Linked DNA regions of Coturnix japonica. The protein of the gene in region 1 purifies or fractionates together with the protein of each later gene. This does not show direct contact. Links are inferred from orthologs where the notes say so. Each region holds a gene or a part of one and is shown in the gene's direction. Other genes may lie near its edges. The genes, in order: ALYREF and C1QBP.

What was found.
Region 2: the proteins of ALYREF (region 1) and C1QBP purify together in Homo sapiens (affinity purification with mass spectrometry; 3 studies listed by BioGRID and IntAct, with this or other methods). This does not show direct contact. The link is inferred for Coturnix japonica from reciprocal best matches to the Homo sapiens genes ALYREF and C1QBP.

Annotation. Positions count from the first base shown.
Region 1 is NC_029533.1:4,445,403-4,449,311, forward strand, and holds the start of ALYREF (THO complex subunit 4), read left to right. Parts: upstream 1-1,406; 5' UTR 1,407-1,496; coding exon 1,497-1,727; intron 1,728-1,918; coding exon 1,919-2,050; intron 2,051-3,909. Other genes in the region: NPB (neuropeptide B), read right to left, coding at 103-231, 508-705; ANAPC11 (anaphase-promoting complex subunit 11), read right to left, coding at 847-992, 1,213-1,321. UniProt on the Homo sapiens protein: Functions as an mRNA export adapter; component of the transcription/export (TREX) complex which is thought to couple mRNA transcription, processing and nuclear export, and specifically associates with spliced mRNA and not with unspliced pre-mRNA.
Region 2 is NC_029534.1:2,454,652-2,458,146, forward strand, and holds C1QBP (complement component 1 Q subcomponent-binding protein, mitochondrial), read left to right. Parts: upstream 1-972; 5' UTR 973-1,020; coding exon 1,021-1,231; intron 1,232-1,321; coding exon 1,322-1,472; intron 1,473-1,553; coding exon 1,554-1,644; intron 1,645-1,844; coding exon 1,845-1,940; intron 1,941-2,179; coding exon 2,180-2,302; intron 2,303-2,511; coding exon 2,512-2,661; 3' UTR 2,662-2,923; downstream 2,924-3,495. Other genes in the region: ATP-dependent RNA helicase DHX33, read left to right, coding at 49-357.

The DNA of each region.
Region 1 (3,909 bases):
CTGGTGGGCTCCCCCCAACCCCAAAGGCTTCCCTCCCCTTAAGGACAGACAACATCTTTCCATTCCACGTGCATTTATTGTCACTATAGTCACCGTGCCACCTCAGGCCCCCCCACACTCTGTGGAGCCCAAGGACACGGTTACAGCCACACTGCACTGCAGAGCACCGGGGACTCCCGATAGCAGCCGACAGCTCCGTAGCTTGGGGTCCACATCCATCACACACGGCACCTGTGGGGAAAGTATCACAGAGATTCCTGGGTGGGAACTTTGGAGCAGGGCTGCCCGCGGAGCCGGGCAGGTGGGTGTTCCTGGTATCAGGGCATTGCTGGGATCTGGGCGTTGCTGGGATCAGGGCATTGCTGGGATCAGGGCATTGCTGGGATCAGGGCATTGCTGGGATCTGGGCATTGCTGGGATCAGGGCATTGCTGGAATCAGGGCATTGCTGGAATCAGGGCATTCCTGGTACCAGCCCGTTCCTGGAGCGGAGCATCCCGGTACTCACCGCGGTGCGGAGCGGAGCAGCGGCACCTCTGCTGTCGGAGCGGCGGCTGTAGGGCAGGCGGCGGAGACCGGAGAGCAGCCCCGAGGCTCTGCCCACCGGGTAGGAGAGCGGAGCGGCCGCCTGCCGGTACCAGGGCGCGGCGGGGCGGCACAGCAGCATCACGGCTACAGCCAGAGTCAGGCAGCGGGCGGCTCGCATCGTGCCGGCGGGGGCGCAGCGCTGCGGAACGGCCGCTCCGGGTCTTTATGGCCGCGGCCGCCCCCGCCGCGCAGCACGAGGGAAAGCGCCGCTCCCCGCCCACGGAACCGGGACCGGAGCGGCGGGAGGAGGCGGGGAGGATCATTCCTTGAACTTCCACTCCTGGCGGCACATGGGGCAGTGCTGCTGGACCTGCTGCGAGTGCAGCCACTTGAGGATGCAGTGCATGTGGAAACAGTGCGAGCACTGCCCCCACACCAGCGGGCAGTCGTCCCCGGGCACTTTGCCTGCGGCGTGGACACAAAGTCAGGAAGGGCCGGGTCGCACCGGACCGGGTACCATACCGGGTACAGTACCGGGTACGGGACCGGGTACCGGACCGGGTACGGGACCGGGTACCATACCGAGTACCATACCGGGTACCGGACCGGGTACCATACCGGGTACCATACCGAGTACCATACCCGGTACCGGACCGGGTACCGTGCCGGGCCCCGCCGCACTCACAGTCGGGGCAGCAGCCGTTGAAGGCCATGCGGCAGATCCCGCAGTTCTCGTCGTTCGCCACCCACAGCCACGAGGCGACTCCGCTCCAGCTCCGCACCTTCACCCTCATCGCCGCCGGAAGTGCCGCTCTCCGGTCCGCGCCGCCCCGCCGGAAGTACCGCCCGCCGCCCCCACGAGGCCCCGCCAATCTGAACGCGCGCCTCCGCCCGCCGGTCCCGCCTCTTCCGCTTCCGGCGTCGGCGCAGCGCGGCCGGAAGCGCAGGCCCCGGAGCGGAGCCGCCATCATGGCCGACAAGATGGACATGTCCCTGGACGATATCATTAAGCTCAACCGAAGCCAACGCGGCGGCGGTCGGGGCGGCGGCCGGGGAGGCCGGGGCCGAGGCGGCGTCACCCGCGGGGGCGGGCCCGGTCGGGGCGGCGTGGGAGCCGGGCGAGCGGGCGGCGGCCCCGTGAGGAACAGGCCGGTGATGGCCCGGGGCGGCGGCAGGAATCGGCCCGCGCCGTACAGCCGGGTACGGGACGGGGGCGGGGGCGGAGCCCGGTCGGCGGGGCCCGGAGGGAGGGGGCCGGTGTGCGGGGCGGGGGGCGGCGGTTCGTGGACGGGGCGGGGGCGGTGGGACGGGCGGCCCTTTGTCCGTTGCCGGCGGTCGAGCCGTCCCGGCGGGACCCGGCGGCGCTCAGCGAAACGTCCGTGTCGTTCCAGCCGAAGCAGCTCCCCGAGAAGTGGCAGCACGATCTGTTCGACAGCGGCTTCGGGGCCGGCGCCGGGGTGGAGACCGGCGGGAAGCTGCTCGTCTCCAACTTGGACTTCGGCGTCTCAGATGCGGATATCCAGGTACGGGCTCGGCGCTGTTCCCGGGGGGTTTCATTCATTCCATCGGTGCTGGGTGCTGGGGGTGGCCATAGAGCATTGCTGGCCCTGCTCCCATTGGAAGGGCCCTTCACACGGTGCCTGGCCCTTTGCTTCACGCACTGCTGGGGCTCTGAGCTGAGCAGTTGGAGTGGCTGGATTCAGAAGAGTCCCAGTCTTTATGGAGCTGTAGGTAATCACATATGAAATATCTCTACCACGATGCTGTGGGGGGGATGTTGCCTTCGCTCAGTCCTGCTGTGATTGCAGAGCTTAGCACAGGCTGTGTGAGCTTTTAAGGTCTGTGTAATTCCAGACGTTCAGTAGCTCTATATATACATCTATTGGCGCTGTTTTCATAGTACCTGTTTATGTACTTTTTGTTAAAGTTTTGTTCAGTCTCAAGGTGTTCTTATAGAAGCACCAGTGATATTGAGAAGTCTGGTCTGTGAGGGGGTACCTGCTCGCTCATGTTGTCATTTCCACAATTACCACATGTATCTTATGACAGATAAATGTTCTAGCTGAGTTACCAGCTGCAGCTCAATCCCTTGTTCCAGCTGTGCCCTGGGTGCAGGCTGTTTGCAGTCACTGTGCCTGTGACACAGCAGTCACAGCTGTGGGGCTGCTCTTACTTGTGGGCAACAAGTTGTGCAGAAACATCTGCAGATCCAAGGAGCATCCAATCTGAAGGGTTTTCCTGACTTAGTCACATTGCAAAGAGCTTTGGATGGTTTCTGGTCCTTGCATCTCCTCTAGAAAAAAATAACTAAATCACTTCTATGTTTTCTTCTGTTAATTCATTCCGGTTCAACCTGTCTGCATCAGGAGTATTGGAAGTGAGCTTTTTTAGGTCACCTAGTTATTGAGCGATGCACTTAAAACCACTGTTTTTTCCTCAAGTGAGTTTAGTTTCAGTTGATATACATTTCCTGTTTGCTGTAATCAGGCCCAAACGTGTAAAAGTGAATCTGTAAAGTTATCTCAATGTAAGGAATTAATGTGTTTTGTGTGGCAGTTGAATGTTTCCTTTTCACAGTTGGCTTGAACTGCAGGAGCAGACAAACATCTGTGTATATTATATGTAGCAGCAAAGCTGACTTAATGGGTTTGTACCTCTTTGTTACTGCCCATCCCGTAATTTTCCACTAAGCTGCACTGATTGTTTTCTTTGTTTCTGTGCTGATTGTGTCATTAATATGGTTCTGCTCAGCTCAGTGCTGAGGAATGAGGGGCTTGGTGGGAGCCTCGTTCACGTTGCTCTTGTAGGAGTATGTGTGGTGCTGTGGCTCCAGCTTCTCTGCAGGACAGGGATGTGATGGAGCACCTCTCCTCCCATGTGGTGCTGTCTTCCAGAAAGCTTGTTGGGTGCTGTATGTTCATGTTTAGTAAATGGACACAGTAGAGAAACTCACTGACAGGCTTGCATAAAGTGCAGCTGGCTTAAGAAGTGAAAATATTTATATGCTCCTTTCAAATGCTTGGATAGGAATTATAGAGATGGCTGGAATAGTGTTTGGGCTCTGCTGCAGGTGATATGGAAGGCAGCCTGTGGTGTCTGCTTTGGACACCTGACAATTCTGTGTGCTTCAAACATTTGAAGAGTGGGGTGTAGGTATAAACTTGCAAAGTAGTGAGATGTCCCCAGATGTACATCTTAGATGTAGCCTCTGTGAAACAAAATGGGTGGCTCCACTGTTGCAGCCTTCCATCGCTCGTGATGGTAAACGATGCTCTTCAGTAGAAGATTTCCTGCTTTCAGTTTATACAGACTGGCAATGTCCCTGGGAAGAGGAGCAGGTCAGCATACCTTGGGGCCACTTTGTTGGCTGTATACAAGCACC
Region 2 (3,495 bases), on another chromosome or scaffold:
TCTGTGCTGCACGCTGTGACCTGCTGCCTCGTGTCTGTGTCCCTGCAGTTATCGCTGCCCATGGAGTCGTCCCGCTCCGACACCTCCAACATCCGCCGCTGTTTGGCTCACAGCCTCTTCATGAACGCGGCCGAGCTGCAGCCGGACGGCACCTACAGCACCGTCAGCTCCCACCAGCCCGTGGCCATCCACCCCTCGTCCGTGCTGTTCCACTGCAAACCCTGCTGCGTGGTTTACAACGGGCTGCTGCACACCAACAAGTGCTACATGCGGGACCTGTGCGTGGTGGACGCGGACTGGTTGTATGATGCAGCACCTGACTATTTCCGCAGGAAACTCAGAGCAGCCAAGAACTGAGTGGGGCTGCAGGGCTCAATACAGGGCTCAGTGCAGGGCTCAGTGCAGGGCTCAATGCAGGGCTCGGTGCAGGGCTCAATGCAGGGCTCAGTGCAGGGCTCAGTGCAGGGCTGGGCTGTGATCTGTGCAGGGACAGCGGGGTTTTGCATCGCAAACAGGTGTAAAACTGGGAGGAAAATGGCTTCTCTGTGAGAGGCAGCACTCATGGCAACCTGTGGCTTTGAACCATCGTGGTGTTAAGAGCTGCTGTGTAAAACGGGACCTGCTTTGTGCTGGTGTTTAACATTGAGCTGTAATGGATGGGGCTGGAAGGAAACGAGCCCAGCAGCTCCTGCAGCAAACTCTCTATTTGTTGATGGTTCAGTTTGTGTTCCGGGCAGGTTTTACCGATGGAAAATAAAGACAAATAAATAAATTTCTACATACAAGGAGCAAAATCAAAGTGCTGTTTCACTGTCAGAATGGAGGTGCCTCATCTGTCCGCTCGGAGCGCTGCTCAGCGCGGCTCCCCCCGCCCGGCTCCTCCTTTGGAACCTTCTGGTCTCTCCCCCAAGGTCACTCCGCGTTGTATCTCGTTCCCTCCCCTTATTACCGGGGGCGGAGCTCCGGAAGCGCCCCGATCCCGTCCGGGTCATTCTCCTCCTCCTCGTCCCGTTTCTCGCCATGCTGCTCGCTCGAGCCCTTCGTTCCGCCGCCTCGTTCCGCCCCGCTCTGTCCCCGCTCCGCTCGCTCTGGTCCGTCCCGCAGCCGCTCCCGGCTCGTTCCCTGTGGCAGCGGAGCGATGTTGTTGTTGGCTGGAGGGCGGCGCTGCTCAGACCGCGCCGGGGAACTGCGGGCGGCGTGTCCTGCGGCTGCGGCGGGCTGCACACGGAGGGTGAGTCGGGACGGAGCCGCACGTGGTGATGGAGGTGGGGGTGGATGCGGGGGGTGGTGCCGGTGCTGAGCGGTTTCTCTCTCCCCGCAGGGGACAAAGCGTTCGCTCAGTTCCTGACGGATGAGATCCAGGAGGAGCGGAAGATCCAGAAGCACAAAGCGCTGCCCAAAGTGTCGGGCGGGTGGGAGCTGGAGGTGCACGGCACCGAGGCGAGGCTGGTGCGCAAAGTCGCCGGGGAAAAGTGAGCAATGAAATAACGAACGGGAGCGATGCGAGCGGGGCCTTCCCGGCTGTGATGGTTTAACTCGTGTCCTTTGTGCAGGATCACGGTTACCTTCAACATCAACAACAGCATCCCGCCCGCTGTGGATGAGGACGCGCCGGAGGAGCAGAAACACGAGGAGCAGGAGGAGGTGAGCACAGCACAGAGCCAGGGGACCACAAAGGGCCGCCGTGTGCTCAGTCTGATTTTGGGAGTGGGAACACACAGAGCAGGACGGCCCTGGGAGACCCCCATGGACCATCCCACCCCCTGCTGAGCACTGCGGGCACCTCGTGGCTGTGCTGGCTCCTGCTCAGCCCTCAGCACTGATCGGCTGCTTCTCTCCTTCAGCCCGATATCACATCGACTCCAAACTTTGTTGTGGAAGTCATTAAGGATGATACAAAGCAGACCCTCGTGCTTGACTGCCATTACCCCGAGGATGAGGTGAGCTGTGCTCTGGGTTCCTGTGTCTGCACAAAATGCTGCCTCCTTCTTTTCTCCTCACACAGGTTTTATCTCTGTAAGGAAACTGATGGGATGGGTTTCTTTCTGCTCATGTCCTGACCTTCTGATCAGCTCAATGTGTGGCATTAAGGGGGTTGTGTTCCCACCTGCAGGATGAAGCAGCTGATGGTTCCCTCTAATTACAGCTAATACATCCTGTGCCTCATTTCCTATTTCAGGTTGGCCACGAGGGAGAGGAAGAAAGTGACATCTTCACCATTAGGGAGGTCAGCTTCCAGCCCACCGGGGAATCAGATTGGAAGGACACCAACTACACCCTCAATACGGATTCCCTCGACTGGGTAAGTGCTGCTGATTTACATTGTACTCCTATTCCATCATGAATCATTTGCTCACCCTGTTGGAGGTGATATGGCAGCTATTGGCACCAAGCAGGAGCACCAGCTCTATGAGGAACAAGGGGGGAGCCCACAAGCCTAATTGTATTGCAGTAGTTAAGTAGGATTTGAAGCTGTGCTCTGCTAAGGCTGTTTTCTGTTCCTTGTTGCAGGCTCTGTATGATCACTTAATGGATTTCCTGGCTGACCGAGGAGTGGATAACACGTTTGCTGATGAGTTAATTGAGCTCAGCACTGCGCTGGAGCATCAGGAGTACATTAAATTCCTTGAAGACCTTAAAAGCTTTGTTAAATGTCAGTAGGGAAGGAAAGCAGCGTTCAGTGTGGGCATTACACAGCAGTGCTCCACCAGCAGAACCACAACGTATCTTCACAACAGAGATGGAGTAACTGAATTGGGAATTGAGCATCACGGGACAGTGAGGGGCCTCACTTGTATTTATGCTACGTTGCAGCCCAGCTCAGGTTCTCAAACAGGACTGTCTGGACCTGCCTCCCCCTGCTGCATTTTGTACCATTAGGAATGAAGGTGAATAATAAAATGTGTTCAAAACTCCCTGAAAAGTAGTTGTTTTTTTCTTCATGTTGATCAGTTGCCATAAGGGATATCTGTGTGTTCCCTGACCTGAGAAGTTAATGCAGCTGCCTGCAGAGCTGGGCAGTGTTAGGCCAGTTTTTCTCCAGGGCTATTCTAGCCCAATCTAGTCCATCTGTACCTGTTAGTATCAACGCATCTGCTCTAGAAAAATACTGCAGACAAGTTGGAGCTCTTTCCTTGCAGTAATTCAAGTCCTGTGGATGCTGAACATCAGCAGCATTGCAGAGCAGCAGATTTGGGCTTCTACTCAACCTGCTGCGTCCAGGTGATGCCTCAAGGTCTGAGTCAGCCCCAGTGGCAGAGCAGGAGATGCTCCCGCACCATGCAGCCATGCATTAAAGAGCTGCCTCTTATTTCAGCTTGAAGGCAGCCAAGGACAGAACAACGAGAAGAGGCAGAATACTTTGTGACTATTGATCAACCTCCCTGTTGATTCCAGGGCAATACTTAATAGTCCTGAGTGTAGTGGGTAAGATTGTAAGGAGGAACCTGCTTTTAGAACAGAAGGATACATTAAAAACACTGTCATGGACCTGAA